Tamandua tetradactyla: one gene and its partner. The protein of the gene in region 1 purifies or fractionates together with the protein of each later gene. This does not show direct contact. Links are inferred from orthologs where the notes say so. Each region holds a gene or a part of one and is shown on either strand. Other genes may lie near its edges. The genes, in order: NUP133 and NUP37.

What was found.
Region 2: the proteins of NUP133 (region 1) and NUP37 purify together in Homo sapiens (affinity purification with mass spectrometry; 4 studies listed by BioGRID and IntAct, with this or other methods). This does not show direct contact. The link is inferred for Tamandua tetradactyla from reciprocal best matches to the Homo sapiens genes NUP133 and NUP37.

Annotation. Positions count from the first base shown.
Region 1 is NC_135328.1:153,879,638-153,889,727, reverse strand, and holds the start of NUP133 (nuclear pore complex protein Nup133), read left to right. Parts: upstream 1-5,870; 5' UTR 5,871-5,936; coding exon 5,937-6,118; intron 6,119-7,802; coding exon 7,803-7,921; intron 7,922-10,090. UniProt on the Homo sapiens protein: Involved in poly(A)+ RNA transport. Involved in nephrogenesis.
Region 2 is NC_135333.1:172,274,211-172,283,722, reverse strand, and holds the start of NUP37 (nucleoporin Nup37), read left to right. Parts: upstream 1-5,639; 5' UTR 5,640-5,728; intron 5,729-5,734; exon of another isoform or gene 5,735-5,915; intron 5,916-6,970; 5' UTR 6,971-7,034; coding exon 7,035-7,193; intron 7,194-9,512. Other genes in the region: PARPBP (PCNA-interacting partner), read right to left, coding at 1,840-1,992. UniProt on the Homo sapiens protein: Component of the Nup107-160 subcomplex of the nuclear pore complex (NPC). The Nup107-160 subcomplex is required for the assembly of a functional NPC.

The DNA of each region.
Region 1 (10,090 bases):
TTAGACCCAAAGATAAACATAGGTTGAAAGTGAAAGGTTGGGAAAAGACATTTCATGCAAATAACAACCAGAAAATAGCAGGAGTGGCTATACTAATATCCAACAAATTAGACTTCACATGTAAAACAGTTAAAAGAGACAAAGAAGGATACTATCTACTAATAAAAGGAACAATTAAACAACAAGACATAACAATCATAAATATTTATGCACTGAATCAGAATGCCCCAAAATACATGAGGAATACACTGCAATTACTGAAAAGGGAAATAGACACATCTACCATAATAGCTGGAGACTTCAATTCCCCACTCTCATCAATGGACAGAACATCTAGACAGAGGATCAATAAAGAAACAGAGAATTTGAATATTACAATAAATGAGCTAGACTTAACAGACATTTATAGGACATTACACCCCACAACAGCAGGATACACCTTTTTCTCAAGTGCTCATGGATCATTCTCAAAGATAGACCATATGCTGGGTCACAAAGCAAGTCTCAACAAATTTAAAAAGATTGAAATCATACACAACACTTTCTCAGATCATAAAGGAATGAAGTTGGAAATCAATAATAGGCAGAGTGCCAGAAAATTCACAAATACGTGGAGGCTCAACAACACACTCTTAAACAACCAGTGGGTCAAGGAAGAAATTAAAAGAGAAATTAGTAAATATCTCGAGGCGAATGAAAATGAAAACACAACATCTCAAAACCTATGGGACGCAGCAAAGGCAGTGCTAAGAGGGAAATTTATTGCCCTAAATGCCTATATCAGAAAAGAAGAAAAGGCAAAAATTCGGGAATTAAGTGTCCACTTGAAAGAACTGGAGAAAGAAAAGCAAACTAACCCCAAAGCAAGCAAAAGGAAAGAAATAACAAAGATTAGAGCAGAAATAAATGAAATTGAGAACATGAAAACAATAGAGAAAATCAATAAGACCAGAAGTTGGTTCTATGAGAAAATCAATAAGATTGACGGGCCCTTAGCAAGATTGACAAAAAGAAGAAGAGAGAGGACACAAATAAATAAGATCAGAAATGGAAGAGGAGACATAACCACTGACCTCACAGAAATAAAGGAGGTAATAACAGGATACTATGAACAACTTTATGCTAATAAATACAACAATGTAGATGAAATGGACAAGTTCCTAGAAAGGCATGAACAACCAATTTTGACTCAAGAAGAAATAGATGACCTCAACAAACCAATCACAAGTAAAGAAATTGAATCAGTCATTCAAAAGCTTCCCAAAAAGAAAAGTCCAGGACCAGATGGCTTCACATGTGAATTCTACCAAACATTCCAGAAAGAATTAGTACCAACTCTGCTCAAACTCTTCAAAATAATCGAAGCGGAGGGAAAGCTACCTAATTCATTCTATGAAGCCAACATCACCCTCATACCAAAACCAGGCAAAGATATTACAAAAAAAGAAAACTACAGACCGATCTCTCTAATGAATATAGATGCAAAAATCCTCAACAAAATTCTAGCAAATCGAATCCAGCAACACATTAAAAGAATTATACATCATGACCAAGTAGGATTCATCCCAGGTATGCAAGGATGGTTCAACATAAGAAAATCAATTAATGTAATACACCATATCAACAAATCAAAGCAGAAAAATCACATGATCATCTCAATTGATGCAGAGAAGGCATTTGACAAGATTCAACATCCTTTCGTGTTGAAAACACTTCAAAGGATAGGAATACAAGGGAACTTCCTTAATATGATAGAGGGAATATATGAAAAACCCACAGCTAATATCATCCTCAATGGGGAAAAATTGAAAACTTTACCCCTAAGATCAGGAACAAGACAAGGATGTCCACTATCACCACCATTATTCAACATCGTGTTGGAGGTTCTAGCCAGAGCAATTAGACAAGAAAAAGAAATACAAGGCATCAAAATTGGAAAGGAAGAAGTAAAACTATCACTGTTTGCAGACGATATGATACTATACGTCGAAAACCCGGAAAAATCCACAACAAAACTACTAGAGCTAATAAATGAGTACAGCAAAGTAGCAGGTTACAAGATTAACATTCAAAAATCTGTAGTGTTTCTATACACTAGCAATGAACAAGCTGAGGGGGATATCAAGAAACGAATTCCATTTATAATTGCAACTAAAAGAATAAAATACTTAGGAATAAATTTAACTAAAGAGACAAAAAACCTATATAAAGAAAACTACAAAAAACTGCTAAAAGAAATCACAGAAGACCTAAATAGATGGAAGGGCATACCGTGTTCATGGATTGGAAGACTAAATATAGTTAAGATGTCAATCCTACCTAAATTGATTTACAGATTCAATGCAATACCAATCAAAATCCCAACAACTTATTTTTCAGAAATAGAAAAACCAATAGGCAAATTTATCTGGAAGGGCAGGGTGCCCCGAATTGCTAAAAGTATCTTGAGGAAAAAAACCAAGCTGGAGGTCTCACGCTGCCTGACTTTAAGGCATATTATGAAGCCACAGTGATCAAAACAGCATGGTACTGGCATAAAGATAGATATATCGACCAATGGAATCGAATAGAGTGCTCAGATATAGACCCTCTCATCTATGGACATTTGATCTTTGATAAGGCAGTCAAGCCAACTCACCTGGGACAGAACAGTCTCTTCAATAAATGGTGCCTAGAGAACTGGATACCCATATGCAAAAGAATGAAAGAGGACCCGTATCTCACACCCTATACAAAAGTTAACTCAAAATGGATCAAAGATCTAAACATTAGGTCTAAGACCATAAAACAGTTAGAGGAAAATGTAGGGAGATATCTTATGAATCTTACAATTGGAGGCGGTTTTATGGACCTTAAACCTAAAGCAAGAGCACTGAAGAAAGAAATAAATAAATGGGAGCTCCTCAAAATTAAACACTTTTGTGCATCAAAGAACTTCATCAAGAAAGTAGAAAAACAGCCTACACAATGGGAGACAATATTTGGAAACGACATATCAGATAAAGGTCTAGTATCCAGAATTTATAAAGAGACTGTTCAACACAACAACAAAAAGACGGCCAATCCAATTACAAAATGGGAAAAAGACTTGAACAGACAGCTCTCAGAAGAGGAAATACAAATGGCCAAAAGGCACATGAAGAGATGCTCAATGTCCCTGGCCATTAGAGAAATGCAAATCAAAACCACAATAAGATATCATCTCACACCCACCAGAATGGCCATTATCAACAAAACAGAAAATGACAAGTGCTGGAGAGGATGCGGAGAAAGAGGCACACTTATCCACTGTTGGTGGGAATGTCAAATGGTGCAACCACTGTGGAAGGCAGTTTGGCGGTTCCTCAAAAAGCTGAATATAGAATTGCCATACGACCCAGCAATACCATTGCTAGGTATCTACTCAGAGGACTTAAGGGCAAAGACACAAACGGACATTTGCACACCAATGTTTATAGCAGCATTATTTACAATTGCAAAGGGATGGAAACAGCCAAAATGTCCATCAACAGACGAGTGGCTAAACAAACTGTGGTATATACATACGATAGAATATTATGCAGCTTGGAAGACAGAATAAACTTATGAAGCATGTAATAACATGGATGGACCTAGAGAACATTATGCTGAATGAGACTAGCCAAAAACTAAAGGACAAATACTGTATGGTCCCACTGATGTGAACCGACATTAGAGAATAAACTTGGAATATGTCATTGGTAACAGAGACCATCAGGAGTTAGAAATAGGGTAAGATAATGGGTAACTGGAGCTGAAGGGATACAGACTGTGCAACAGGACTGGATACAAAAACTCAAAAATGGACAGCACAATACTACCTAATTGTAATGTAATTATGTTAAAACACTGAATGAAGCTGCATCTGAGCTATAGTTTTTTTTGTTCTTTTTGTTTTGTTTTGTTTTTATATATATTTTTTGTATTTTTATTTTTATTTTTTTCTCTATATTATCATTTTATTTCTTTTTCTGTTGTCTTGCTATTTCTTTTTCTAAATCGATGCAAATGTACTAAGAAATGATGATCATACATCTATGTGATGATATTAAGAATTACTGATTGTATATGTAGAATGGAATGATTTCTAAATGTTGTGTTAGTTAATTTTTTTAATTAATGAAAAAAAAATAAAATAAAAATATTATGAATCTATATACAGACAGAAACCAAGGGGGCAAAGAAGAAAGGGATATCTAACTCTGTGGAAGTCTTTCCGGCGGCAGTAGCACTGAATGAAGACTTGATGTGTGGTTAGAGGCTTACCTAGCCAACAGGGGTAAGGAGAGAGGGAAGGCATGCCAAGTGAAAGGAATATGTGCAAATACATTGGAGGGGTGAGATGGAAACTCTTACGTATTTTTTTTTCCGGAAGGAATATGCACTGCAAGTGGAAAGGGAATGAAGTGGAGTCAGACGTACGAGCCAGCAAGAGTTAAATCACAAAGGACCTTGTAAAGGAGCTTGCCAAATTACCTGTGGGCAACAAATGGTCAGCTACTGAAGCAGTTTCATGCCCAAGAACAACATCCAATATACCTTATGTTGGGACCTATATCACATACCCTATAAAAGGCATATTCAAGTCTTAGTCTGTGCCCCCATGGGTGTGAACTCATTTGTAAATAGGACTTTTGAAGATATTATTAATTAAAGTCTGTACACATTTGTGAATAGGATCTTCGAAGATCCCTATTTAGATGAAGAAAAATTGAATCAGGGTGAGACTTACCCTGATGAGTCCATATAAGCAAAGGAAACTTGTATACAGTGGGTAGAGGAATCCAGAAGTCAGAAGATAGAAAACGAAGGAGATTGCCATTTGACAAAGGCAGATATGAAATTCAAGGAACCCCAAGGATTGCCACAAGCAGCACCGGAATACCACAAACAGTATCTGGGAGGAAGCATGGCCTATGGAGATCTCGATTTTGTATTTTTAGCATTAAAAACCATGAGACAATAAATACTCTGTTTAAGTTAACCCATTGTGTGGTATTTGTCATAGCAGTGCTAGCAAAGGAAGACACCTTAGTCCACTAATTTAGCAATGTGGAGGATGGAGTGGAGTAAGAGCAGGCAGAGGCAAAGAAACTCAAAAAGAGATTATTGCTATGGTCTAGGGAAAAGGTGAGTGCGTGAACAGGGCAGAGGTAGTGCAGCTGTGTGAGATGTGCTAGATGTACTCCAGAGCTACAAAGGACCAGGATGTTGTCGTGAAGATAAGTTTGAGGATGACTTTAGGATATAGCCCTTATTTTTACCTTGGACAACTGACCAGTTTACTAAGCTGGAAAATACATGATAGGAGGATGAGAGTCCTAAAAGAAAGCATGAATTCAGTTTTAACAAGTGAATAGTAAGGAGTCTGCAGGATATCCAGGTGAAAATGTCCACTATGAAGTTGACAGATGTCTTTGTTTTTTTTTTTAAATCAGGATCTGCCTTAGAAATATGTATTCGTGGCGTGAATAGTGTGGATGAGACAGTCCAAACAGAAAGAGAAATGACAAAATGGGAAAAGAACAAATAAAATATTGTGTGAAACCTGCGTTAGGTTTACCATCGCCCCTTTCCATTTCTCTGGCTCAGGAAAGATCAGAGGGAGAAGTGGCTTCGCGTCAAGCGGCTAGAGCGTCAACACCGCCTATGTGAGTCGGGAAGGCCCCCTGGTTTTCCAGCTTCATTTCCCTGGAAAGTCAAGACTACTGCTTGGACCAGAAGCTCCGGAGGCGCCAACCCCGCCCATTCTCCTCCAGCGGCTGCAGCTCCGCCCACGCCCCGCGGGTTGTGCGCTGGGCCTGACGTCATCACCGTGCGCTCTCGACCTTCAAGCTCCGCGCGCGCGCCGCGAGCCTGCGCCGCGAGTCTGCCCCTCGGCCGGGAAACCGCGCGCTCCGCCGTCACTCCCTCGCATCATGTTCCCGGGCGTCCCCTCCCCGCGGACCCCTGGTCCAGGGTCCCGAAGGGGCCCGCTCGGCGGAGTCGGGCCGGCCTCCACGCCCCGGGTGCTCAGCAGGAAGGGCCTGACCCTGGGGTCTGGAATGAGCTCTCCTGTGCTCTTCTCACCGGTCGGCCGGCGAAGCTCGCTGAGCTCACGGTAAGTGATTCCTCCCTCGTTGGGTCCGACGAGAGGCAGACTCAGAGGCTTCGGTAGGCCTAGTGGGGGAGTCTCCCGAAGCCTCTGGAAACGTTGGGAGGGAGGTGGGGGCGGGGGTGCCAAATTTTGGGGAAAATAAATATCCGCTACCCTTGCGGGTTATTCCAGCTTCACCTCGATTGACTCGTCATTTGAATCCTCGCTTTGCGCTTTTCGTGGGATTATCTTTGTGCGGAAAGAATCAACAAGCTGGATTTGAATCGGTGCCACTTCCCCTCTTCTTACCAACCCTGTAATGTAGAATAAGTCACTCGTGATTCTCCTCAACTGAAATGGCGCTAATACCTGACCTACAGTCAGTCTCCCTCACTAAGGCCAGAGGACTCGATAAGAAACGCCTGGATGCAGTTGTTAAGTGATGGTGGTAGTAAGGACCTCCTACCCTAGAACGTCATTATGTAATGCCGAACATACTAAGGCATTAGTATCTGCTGATTGGTAATTAAAGGACGTTTAGCTACAAAAGTTCCCTTTGTAGTTAAATTAACAGAGAAAAGACCTTCTACGGTGGGATAAGAATGGTAGTTTTGTAACCAATAAGAAGTGCGAAGCAGCAGTCCATATCACTGGTAAAAGTATGCCTCAACCCACCCATGTTCACAATACTCAGAACTTTAGAAGGTAGGTAACATCTGTTTCTGAGTAGTTTCCTCTGATCCACCCATCAAAAATGAGTTTTCCCTTGCGAGAAATAACGGTATTACTGTGCCTTAAACTTACAGTTATAATGTATTTATACAGTTTTGCAGTATTTTAAAGGAGAAATGAATTTGAAAGAATGCACTGTATCCTTGGCTTTTGCATTTTGAAGAGTGCTCTTAAAAGTGCTGATGCTCTTGTCAGTGTTTTATGTTCCTTTTGAGAGAAGTAAAAGAATAAAAGCCATAGTTTTCTTTTTCAATTCCTTACTATGGTTTTAAAATTTCTTACCTTCTGGTGGCCATTCAAAGAAAAACCTTGTTACAATACTTCTGTTAGGAAATACAGCTCTATATGTGTAACTCCTCGTTAAGTCCTCTTGATAAATTTGAGGGTAACTTTTATATGGTGGCTTTACATTATTATTCTGAATGTGAAGAAGAAAATGAGAAAGGAATGTAATGTCTACTTCTATACCTATTATTAAAGGCTAGGTTAGAGCAGATGGTCATGACTCTGTTTTCTTGTTTGGTTGCACAGAGCTGGTAGATTTCTTAGATTTCAAGAGCTGAACAAGAGCTTAAGTATGACCGACCCCTATGTTTGTAAATGTTTTCAACCATAACATGTGATTAAACTCTGAAATTTTATATGCTAGTTTTTCAAAAATGTTAAGACCCTCAAAATGACTTGCAGTTTGAGAAACACTTATCTAGCCCAATCTTGTTATTTTCTAGATAAGGAATCAGTTATAAAAAGAGGCATGCATTTACTAGAGTATGAGTCTAAAGCCAATTTTCCCCAAATCCCTCCATTTTCAATGAATGATATATTTAATCACACAAGTATACGTAGGTCAGTGTTCTTTCCACTGTCACCTCTCTTCTTGTGTAATAAAGATCTTTTTATTATGAAATTATATATACGAGGTATGATAATGAAAAATTTAAATTATGAGTGCTGTTACAATGTCTCTTTTCTTTAGAGGAACACCTACACGAATGTTCTTACACCACTCTGTAACTGAGACTATGAACTATGATGTGAAAACTTTTGGCTCTTCTCTCCCTGTGAAAGTTATGGAAGCCCTAACATTGGCTGAAGGTTGGTATCATCTTCCCATTTGCCTCAGTTAGCAATTCAAAATGGAATTTAGCCTTTAGGAAAATGCAGATCAAACCCATCCTAAAATAACACTTCATACTCTCTAGAAAGGCATTTATTAAGAAATGGAAAGTAGCATGTGAGGACTGTGAGAAATAGAAACTCTCCTACATTGTCGGTGGGAATATAAAATCAAGCAGCCTGTGGTAAACAGCTTGGCAGTGTCTCAAAAAGTTAAACATCCACTTCTAGGTATATGCCCCAAAAGAACTGAAAGCAGCACCTCAGATATTGGTACGCCAATGGAGATGGTGGCATTATTCACAATAACAAAAGGTATAAGGAACCCAAGTGCCCATCTACAGATGACTGGATAAACAAATGTGCTATATACATTCCTGTAAAAAGTGAAGTTTTGATATGTAGATGAACATGGGTGAATGTTAAAGACATGAAGGACAGATATATGATTTCATTTAAATGAAATAACTAGAATATGCAAATCCATTCATAGAGAAAGAACATCTGTATAGGTAGGGGGCATGTAATCAAGTTATTGCTTATTGGGTGCAAAGTTTCTGTTTGGGGTGATGGAAAAGTTTTGGTAGTGGATAATGGTAATGGTAGCACAACATTGTGAATGTAATTTAAGCCACTGAATTGTTAGATTTGCAAGTGGTTAAAATGGCAAATTTTATATTGTATATATCTTACCACAGTTTTTTTTGTTTTGTTTTAATTTTTTAAGATGGTTTTTTAAAAAATGATGCCTAGGGTTGGCATGTGGATTGAAATTTTTGCTTTCTCTAGTATACCTGAGAGATATACCTAAATGGGGAGATATAGTCAGCTTATTTGACTTTTCAGTATAATTGAGAAGTATCATAAATTTGAGAAGCTGGATGAGTTCATTCTAACACAATCAGATTAAGTCTTTATTAGTTTCAAGTGCTGCATATAGCAAAATTTAGCCCAATTTTAAAAGTTGGTAGATGTATTAGCTAGGGTTCTCTAGAGAAACAGAATCAGCAAGAGATATCCATAGATGTAAAATTTGTAAAAGCATCTCACATACCATGGGAATGTAGAATCCAAGGTCTGTAGGGCTGGCCGCAAGCTGGCAACTCTGACGAAGGTCCGCAGTGAACTCTCAGGAGAGGCTGACTGGGCAACTATGGGAATGAAAGGGTCAGACATCTGTAGGGCAGGCAGCAAGCTGGCAACTCCAGTGAAGGTCCTCACCGAACTCTCAGGAGAGGCTGGCTGGCTGAAGCAGGAAGATTGACTGTCTCTTCTGAATCCTCCTGAAAAGCCTTCTGGTTATTAGATTAGGCATCACTCATTGCCGAAGACGCTCCCTTTAGCAGATTACAAATGCAGTCAGCTGTGGATGCAGCCAACGTGATCACAGTTGAAGACCATGAAATGTCCTCATAGCAATAGACAGGCCAGTGCTTGCCCCACAAGACAACTGGGCACCACCACCTGGCCAAGTTGACACATGAACCTGACCATGACAGTGGGGTATATGAAATTTAAAAACAAACTGGGGGTGGACACTGGTGGCTCAGTAGCAGAATTCTCGCCTGCCATGCCAAAGACCTGGGTTCGATTCGCAGAGCCTGCCCATGTCAGAAACAAAGAAACAGACTGATGCTTCAAGTTTTTTGTTTTATTAATAGAGTAAAATTAAATTCTACCTCCATTTCTGGATCATATATAGGCCTGAGAGACTGTATGCACAGTTTCATGATGATACCTGTGTAGTGTATGTTTAGAAGATTCTGCTAACAGAATTAAAGTGGAAGTTTAGAAAATCCAGTCAATGCAGATTTCAGAGAGGCAATATTAATGAGGGATTGGGTGACAGGGGAAGTGCAAAGTTCAGAGAATCCTCAGTGATCTGCCTTAGTCATTCTTATTAAGGAGTCAATTCTAGATCTTTGAGATTTTCTGGAGTACTGTATGAAATTGCAGCTTTTGACCAAAATCACTTTAGTGGTTCATGACTAGCATTAAGAAAAAAAAAAATTAAATAGAATAGAATGGAAAACATCAGATTGTATCTTATTGAGTAAGGTTAAATAACTTTTATTTTAGTTTTATTTAAATTGTGTCTGAATGCATCATGATGTAAAATATATTTTATTTTAACTTATTAATTGTGTA
Region 2 (9,512 bases), on another chromosome or scaffold:
ATTTTAAAAATGTAAAATGGCAATTACCCATATGTAGGAAAGACTATCCCTTTTTTTTATTTTTAAGATTGTGTACTTCCTAATTTAGGTGTTAAAATAGTGTTCCTTTTTTCAAACTGATGGTTATAAATGATAGTAACTTTTCTTTCCTCAATAGCCTTGTGCTGGTTTAAAAGGTTTATGTGCCCTAGAAGAGCCATATTGAATCCTGATCCAATCTGTGGGAGCAACTGTTTCTTTTAATGCCTATTCAATAATGTAGGTTGGAATCTTTTGATTAGATTATCTTCATGGATATGTGTATTAATCTTGATCAGATGGAGATGAGGCTCCACGCATTTTAGGTGGGTTTTGATTAGTTTACTGGAATCCTTTAAAAGAGGAAGCATTTTGGAGAGAGCGACAAAGCCAAGAACGACCAGAGTGAGCCACGAGAACCACCAAGCCCATGCAGCCAGAGACCTTTGCAGATAAAGAAGGAGTACGCCCCTAGGGGAGCTTCATGAAACAATAAGTCTGGAGAGAAAGCTAGCAGACATCACCATCGTCGCCATGTTCGCTGTGTGCCTTTCCACTAGAGAGAGAGAAACCCTGAACTTCATTGGTCTTTCTTAGTGAAGGTAACCTTAATTTGGACATTTTTATAGACTTGCTTTAATTGGGACATTTTCATGGCCAGAGAATTATAAATGTGCCACTTTAAATAAACTCTACCTTTTAAAAGCCATTCCATTTCTGGTGTATCACATTCCAATAGCTAGCAAACTAGAACAAGCCTCATTTGTCAAAATGAGAAACAGTCAACCATCAATGTCTAGTGTTTTTTGGAAATTTTACTAGTCTACAAAATCTCAAAGTTTAATAACCACTTACATACGGGATTAAAATAACTCATCAAAATGTCATTTTAAAATCTAGCCCCCCAAAATCATTGAAACCCTTTATAAATTCTCTTCCTTAGTCAAGCTGTTCTCTTTACCATCTTTAAATCATCATAATTTTGATCCCCCTGGAATGTTTTCTGAACTGACTTTTCTTTCTCCAGGAATAAATGCAAAAACGCCTTTCATTATCACTCCAACCTATATTCATTCTTCTCTCTTCTGAACACCTCTACCTCTGGAGCTACATAAGGACCATTTTGGAGAGACTAAAAAAAAAGACAGTTATTTGTTTCCCAGAGTCTGCCCATGCAAGAAAAAAAAAAAGACAGTTTCCAAAGCTTCAGTGCAGAGCAGAAGAATGAGAATTCTAAAGAATGGAGCCCAGAAGCTAGTATTTTTTTAAAGTGCCTCAAGTGATTCTTATTAACAACCTGGCTTGGGAACAACTAATCTATACCACAGAGTGTGAAACAAGTCCTAAGATACTTTGTGGTTAATTTAAATAAACATTTGTAATGTGTGCTTTCTAGAATTGCTTTTAGAGGAGAAGGGAAGTAATAATTTTTAACCATAATAGTTGCACATCTATCTTAAGACATTTATTATGTCAAATGTACATGCTCCATGTTAAACTGTACTTATGAAAGCCTTAATTTTTAAACAAATCATTTCAAATAAAATCTTAATATTTTGTGGCACACATATATATGCAGAGGGATTTGTGAAAATAGTATATCAATATTATCATAATATAACAAAGAAATTAATGTAATTAAGATTATTAAAATATGCAGTAGCCGAAACTTAATAAAAAAATAAATGAACCTAGTGGTTCAGCGCTAGAATGCTCATCTTTCATGCAGGAGACCAGGGTTCAATTCCCGGACTATGCAGCCCCTCAAAAAATACAAATAATAAATAAAGAAACAAAGAAACCTACACACAACTTACTAACCTGTTTGTTGTTCTCTGCCATGGAAAGCTGCAATATCAGGAGCATGGAGTCTGCACCACATACAGTAGTTCTCTCAGAGGTACAAAGGGTGTGCCAGTTCCTTCTAAACGCTTTAATCATGTTCAAGATAGACTTCTGATAATGCACAGCCATCCTCTTAAAGTAGAACAGAATACAATGTTGAAGTGTCTTATTTTAATTGGAAATTAATATCTAACATGTGCAAACAAGCAGAGTAAAAAAAGCAGTGAATGAGAGATCATCTCATATCTACCAAAATGGCTTTTAAATTTAAGAAAACAGAGTAATATAATTCCTGCCCAATCACATTTTCCTCTCATTTAATTTTCTTAAGCCAAATCATCTGAAATAATAATATCCAATCCTGCCTGAAAAGTCATCCAAAAAAGTACACAAATTTATAATGATAAAGCAAGTGAAACACAGCCTGATGGAGAAGTAACATGGAACTCCAGCCGACAACCAACATTAACTCACAAACACACAGTGACGTGATTATCCAGCTCCAGTCAACCTGCCAGACGAACTCGCCACATGAGCAATTCCAGGCAGGACCAGGAGAAGAACGACCTAGCTGAGCCCCATCTAAAGTACCGATCCACAGAATCACAAGCACACGAGCTGCTAAGTTTTGGGGCAGCTTTTTACACCAGCAACAGATCACAACACAATGGCTAATATTTAGGAGCTGTTACTTGATGCCAGGAATTTTTCAAAAGTTTAATATATTACCTCATGCAATTCTCACAAGAGGTGAGTACATTAGGCAGGTACTATTATCTTCATATTACATCTGACAAAATTGATGCCTCATGTCACCTGGCTAGAAAATAACTGAACCAGACCTAAACCCAAGATGCCTAATCCCATAAACTGTGTTCTTAAATCATTATATTGCATAAAAACCTCTGATACAGACAAAAGCCTTTCAAAATAATTAGATGCATTTCTAATGTTTTATATACCCAAGCCTATTGGACAGCTAATTTCTTTCATACCCAAGCCTATGAAACAGCTAATTCCTTTCTTTGATTAACAGACATGTGCTAACAGAGTTTTTCCTTCTTTCTTTACCAGTTTAAAATATATTCACATGTCCATCATCTCTTTTGGGTATGGTACTGTTCTCATCAATTTACTGACTTCTAAATCCCAGGCACCCTAGGTTTGCATGATCAAGAAAAAGAGCATATACCATTTACAAAATGATAGTTTAAATTATAGATATAACCAGTAACACAATTTAAAATACAGGTAAAAGACTTTATGTTAAAATAGCCACATAAATACAATCCCTCATAAATAGGTAGGAGTTATATTTCCCTTCAAAATATCACTCTCAGCTCTTAAAAAAAATGAGTGATGTAGGCCCCTCTCTCCAGCCAACCCAATGAGCAGTCTCACCACCCTACCACTCTCTAAGTGGGACATGATTCCCAGGGGTGTGGACCTTCCTGGCAACGTGGGGCAGAGATCTTGGAATGAACGGAGACTCAGCATCAAGGGATTGAGAAAAACCCTAGAATGAGCTGAGACAGCATCAAGCGATTGAGAAAACCTTCTCGACCAAAAGGGGGAAGAATGAAATGAGACAAAGTGTCAACGGCTAAGAGATTCCAAACAGAGTGGAGAGATTATCCTGGAGGGTTACTCTTATGCATCAAGTAGATATCATCTTGTTATTCAAGATGTAATGGAGAGGCTGGAGGGAACTGCCTGAAAATGTAGAGCTGTGTTCCAGTAGCCATGTTTCTTGAGGATGATTAAATAATGATACAGCTGTCACAATGTGACTGTGCGATTGTGTCTGATGCTCCTTTTATCTACCTTGTCAACAAAGGAGAACATATGGAATAAAAATAAATAATAGGGGGAATAAATGCTAAAATAAATTTAGTTTAAATGCTAGTGATCAATGACAGCAAGGGGTAAGGGGTATGGTATGTATAACTTTTTTTTCTGTTATCATTTTATTTCTTTTTCTGTTATCTTTTTATTTCTTTTTCTAAATCGATGCAAATGTTCTAAGAAATGATGAATATGCAACTAAGTGATGATATTGTGAATTACTGATTATGTATGTTGTTTTGTTTTTAATTAATAAATTTAAAAAAATGAGTGATGTAAAACTTCAGCTTCAATGATATGATCATTTTGCCTAAAATAAAACTTCAGCAGCAAATTAGTTACTGGCTTTAGAGATATTATGAGTCCCAATTGCTAAGAATGAAGATTCTTGTGGAACCAGACTCTTCTGGAACCTGGTTCCAGAACTTACTTGCTGTGAAATTTGGTCAAGTTAGGTCACCTCTCCCTGCTTCAATTTCCTCCTACTGAAAATGAAAATAATAGTTCGTACCTCATAGAGTTTTGTAAAGAGTAAATGACATATAAACAAGTAAAGCTTTAAAAGAACAGTGCCTGGCACAAATAAGAGCACATTAAAAGTGAAGTATTACATTATGAGTTTCTAAGTTGCTTTGAGTTAAAATTGAATGGACATTATTATTGGAGACAAAAAAAAAAAAAAAAAAAACAGTATTGTCCAGGAGTCAGGAGTTATTTGGAAAGGGCCAAGAGCAAAAATGTGAGGTTTGCAGGTCATGTGATCTTTGTCACAACTACTCAACTTGTCCTTGCAGTGTGAAAAGAGCCATGGACAATTCATAAATGAATAAGCATGGCTGTGCTCCAACAATACTGATTTACAGACAGTGTCCTTTGAATTTCATATCATTTTCATGTGTCAAAAAAATTATTCTTTTAGTTTCTTCCCAGCCATTTAAATACATAAAATCTATTGTTTACTCAAGTGGTAGCTGCACAAAAACAGGCAGTTCAGCCCATCTGCCCATCTCTTGTGAGCTTGGGTGACAGATTTACACCTGGCTGCACAGCGGAGATATCACCTAGAGAAGAGGCACAATACTCTCCTCACTTACTCACCTTCCTCGCACTTGAGAAGAGTCAATGAGGCACGGAATATGCAAACACTCTGAATGACAGGCTGCCCTACACAAAAACAGTAGAAGAAATTGGTGGCAATAATAAATACTTGCTTTAAAAAACTGGATTAAAGCTGCGCTGGAGGAAAAACTGTGGGGCAGGTGAATGTCACTGGGCGGTAGTGCGCGACGTCTGAAACAAGTACACGTTCGAGTCGGATAACCAGGTCCACCCCAGCAACTCCATCTATTAGCTGTACGTCCTACACTATGCAAGACCTCTGATGAGCCTCAATGTCTTAATCTGTGATCGGGGAGACAGTTCCTGGGTCGTAGTAAGGTCGTGAGACTTTGATGAGACAAGTACATGACCCAATGAATGCTACACTAAACAGGTCCTCGATAAGATACAGGGAAGCGTTGTCAGCAGTCAGGTGTTCCATGCTGTCTGGGGCGATGTGTATGGGGTAGCAAAACCGGAGTGGGAGCCCGCACGCCTCGTTTCCTCTAACTAGGGCCTAGCAGGTCCTTCTGGGCCTCCATCCCGCCCCTTCCAGTTCCCTCGGGGACACCCGACGTCCGTCCGCAGTCCTCAGAGCCAGCCAGGCGGCAGCGCCGAGGCCCGCACTTAGCACCGCACACGGTGAGGCGGTGCTCTGGTGTCACCGAAAGACCCCACAAGGTTCCGGCCCGGCCCACCAACGCTGGCAGGGAAGCGGGGAGACTCACCCGCGCGGGCTCCCGAGGCGAGGCCGCGCCTGCGCGCCGGCCCCCGGCCACGCCGGGATTACATTTCGAATCTCGCGGGAGGGCGCGGCAGCCAATCGCGGCGCTCGCCCTCCGAACCGGAAGCAGAGCCGGCGCGCGGCGGCCGCCCCGCCCCCGCGGAGGCCTGTTCGCTGCGGCCGCGCTTCGCCCGTCGGGTTGGTATCACGCGGCAGCGCCGAGGCAGCCGGCTTTGGGACGGGAGGTGTCTCCTCTGTCCTGGGCGTCCCATCTCTGTCCTCCGCGACCGCGGGCAGGGAAGGCGGGATCGGGTGCCGCGGGACTGGCCTGGGTGGGAGAGCGGCATCGAGGCTCTGTGCAGGGCCTTCTTCCCGGCTGCTCCAGGTGTGGAGGGGAGGGCCCAGCCCCGCGGGCGCTGCTGTAGGGCCACGGGGCCGGGATCGGAACGACTTTCCTGACCTCGAATCTTTTGCACCGCTGTTTCTGTGGGCGTCTCCCCTGCTGGTCACTCTTAACCATGCCAGCCCCGGGTGTCCACTCGTGAGTTTGCCAGCTGCTTCTCGGTCAATACTCATCAGGCCTTGGATGCGTTCATTTCTGGGTCCGGCTGTTTTCAGGAGCATAAAACTCTTATATCCAATTAAAAACAAACAAAAAAACCTAAAACCCGTAGTTCTCATTAGGGAATACTACTCTGTGGCCAGAATACACGTTAGGCCCGAACAGCTTTGTTGAGATTTTGTACTTGGCTTTATACCAGTGTATCAAGTTTTGGCACCCTTCGGGATCCGAGGATGCTTTGTATCTCCTTGTGTTAGAGCGCTTTTCATGCAGAATCATAACTATCCCTGAATGGTGACCGCCTTCAAGGCTGAGGCTGTTTTTCTTCACTTGCCCTAGTGTCCAAAATATAGTGAAGTCTTTCTGGCTCTGCTTGCTTATAAGCTTGGAAAGTTGTTGAACCTCCTAAAGCCTCAGTTTCTTCATCTGTGACGTGGAGACCACACATAGTATTTCCCTCTTCGGTTTGTGCAAATATTAAAAGTGGTAATGGCAGTAACGTGCTTTAACGTGGTGGCAACAAATAGTGCTCAGCTATTCTTTTTTTATAAATTTATTTAATATCAATCTGATTGTTTTTGCAAGTACTCAACATACGGCTTAGTCATACAGAATTTTATGGTGATTTCCTCTGCAAGTATTCACAAATATGGAAAGGAGAAAAGCTACGGAGCAAGTGTTCTACCATTAACTATTTTATCTAATTTTTTTCTGCTGCTTTGGTCCCTTGATAAGTACTTCAAATGTTTCATTCCTTTTGAGCTTTGTACCGCATTGCAATACCACATCCTTGCAATACTACATCCTTATTCTGATTCATTTACTGAAAGACATATTTAACTATTTCTAATTGAATCTATTTCTGCTGTAATTCACAGGTTGGTGACCTTGTCCCATAGAAGGCTGTTTTTTTTTTTCACAACTGCTTGAGTTTTGGCATACATGATGAAGCAAGATGCCACCACAAATGCTGCCTACACTGTGGATTGTGAAGATTATGTGCATGTGGTAGAATTTAATCCCTTTGAGAGTGGAGATTCAGGAAACCTAATTGCATATGGTGGCAATAATTACGTGGTAATTGGCACGTGTACATTTCAGGTTAGTTGCAAAGCTGCAATAAATGACAGTGAAGATACTTCACTTATAAACTTAAAAAACCAAAGGTAAATTTTGAAAGTATATTGAGTATTGCATTTGAACATTTAAAAAAAGAAAGATATGCAGAACCACAGAAAAAAACTTTCCCAGTAATATATGTCTGAGGTTGTATCAACATTGACCAAATAGAAAAAGAAGAGGGTGAGGCTCCTCTTTTGCCTCATTATTAGTTATAGCACATTATGATAATTGAAGGTTTTGCGAAGTTGAACATTGGTATGTTTAAAAAAAAATTAAATGGGATACAATTAATTACAATTTTTACTACCTTCCACTTTGTCATGAAACATTTTAGGCTAATATTAAAAGCCTAAAAACTGATTCTCTGGGAGATTTTATGGCTTTCATGAGATTCAACTTTTCTATTACTATGCTCTCCTACTTTTTATACATTTAAAGCGTGCATCTAGAGTATACAAAGTATGAGATCTTGTTACTTGAGCATACAATTCAGTATAGTCATTAAGAGCATGCTCCCTAGAGCTGGAATACCTAACTTTTCACTCCTACCCACTTAACCTCTGTGTGATCTTGACAAGGTACTTAACTTCTCATTTCTAAGAATGGGTTAAATAATACTTAATTGAGTTTTGGGAGGATTTCATGAGTCACTACATGTGACATTCCTAGATTGGCATCTGGCCAATTGTAAGCAACACACAGAGTCTAATTGTCATTGATTTGGGGCAGTGATGACACTTAGGTGCAGCCCTGTATTTTTCTCACAAAAATGTGCTACATGTGAGAGAGACTTTGATCAATGAGAGTTCAACACTCAGAATTTCTGGTTAATCCTTTGCTAGCAAAAATATTATTCAGAAAACCATTATTTCTCAAATTCTGATTAATCAATGACGTTAATTTAACAGGCACCAATTTTCAAAGATTTAAAGTAACTTTATCACTAAAGCCATTATAAACATTATTTCCTCTTCTACTCAGCAGCAAATTCAGTATCGTATAGTGTTGTGAAATAAAAAATGCAGTGTATCTTTTTACACTATTATACAGTAAATGTGTAAAGCTCTACAAAATTGGACTGGATTCGTATTTATCCTAAGGGGAAAATATAAAGTATAAATTAAAGATTTCAGTTTGTTGGTGTCTGAGTATAATATGAAAGCTCTTACATTATCCCATATTATTTGTTTGGGGTTGGGAGAGGAACTTCCAGATTTTAAATGGAATACAATCCTCAGCCAGACTTCAGCTGGATACTAGATTAGGAATCATATAATGTTGAGTAAGGTGATTGCTATAATGTACTCTTAAAAAAGGCCCAGGGTCCGCAGGCAGTGTTGGCTCATTGGCAGAATTCTTGCCTGCCATGCTGGAGACCCGGATTCAATTCCCAGAGCCTGTCCATGCCAAAACCAGAAAAAGGCCCAGGGGAAACCAGTTATCTAATGCAAGCCTCTAACCTACAAAAGAATAAAGTAGCCACCTACAGGTTAAACTTTATTTCATCACTTTTAAAGTTAACAGCTATGAACAAAGAATTATATTTAGAAATACTGAAAAGTATGCTTTTCTCTAGTTTATGAGTAATTGAGAAATGTTGGGGGAGAAAGTCAAAAAAGGGAGAGAGAATTTAGGAAAAGCAGAGATGATAGATGAGAGAGAAAATGGGAGGCAGAAGAAACAAATAAAACACCTTAACGTTTGTATGTATCCATTATGGTTTATGGTCATATACATTGTATTGATCCTCTGACTGTGAGACTGGCAAGGAAGGTCTTATCCCCAAATTCCCTAAGGAAGAAAACTGGGATTTTATTAATTTGGCAAGTAGTGAGCACAAATTATATTCTGTGTCAGGCACTCATGAACGTGGTTAAACAAGACTGTCTCTGCTCTCATGGAGTTTCCCTCCATCTTACTTCAAGGAAGTTCAGGGATTTGCATTACTAGTAAATGAAAATATAAGATCTAGATCCATCCTTAAAAATTTGTCATTTTTCTTCTGTGCTAATATTAAGAGAAGCCATCGTTCAAACTGTTCTAAAAGAGAATTCGTTCCAATAGTTTTCCCTTGGAGATTTAGGAATAAGTATTGCTTTCCTTTAATGTTTTATTTTGTTTTTTTGCCTAAACACCGTTACACATTTTTCCTAGTCTCTCATCTTTGAACCTTCAAGTTACATAGCACCCATATTCATGCCACTTGTCTTGGGAGACCTAAGTAAAGGTAACTCAAATGGAAAGATTTTCACATTCCTATCAGAAAGGTAGTTGTCATTCACCAGGACCAGTGAGTAG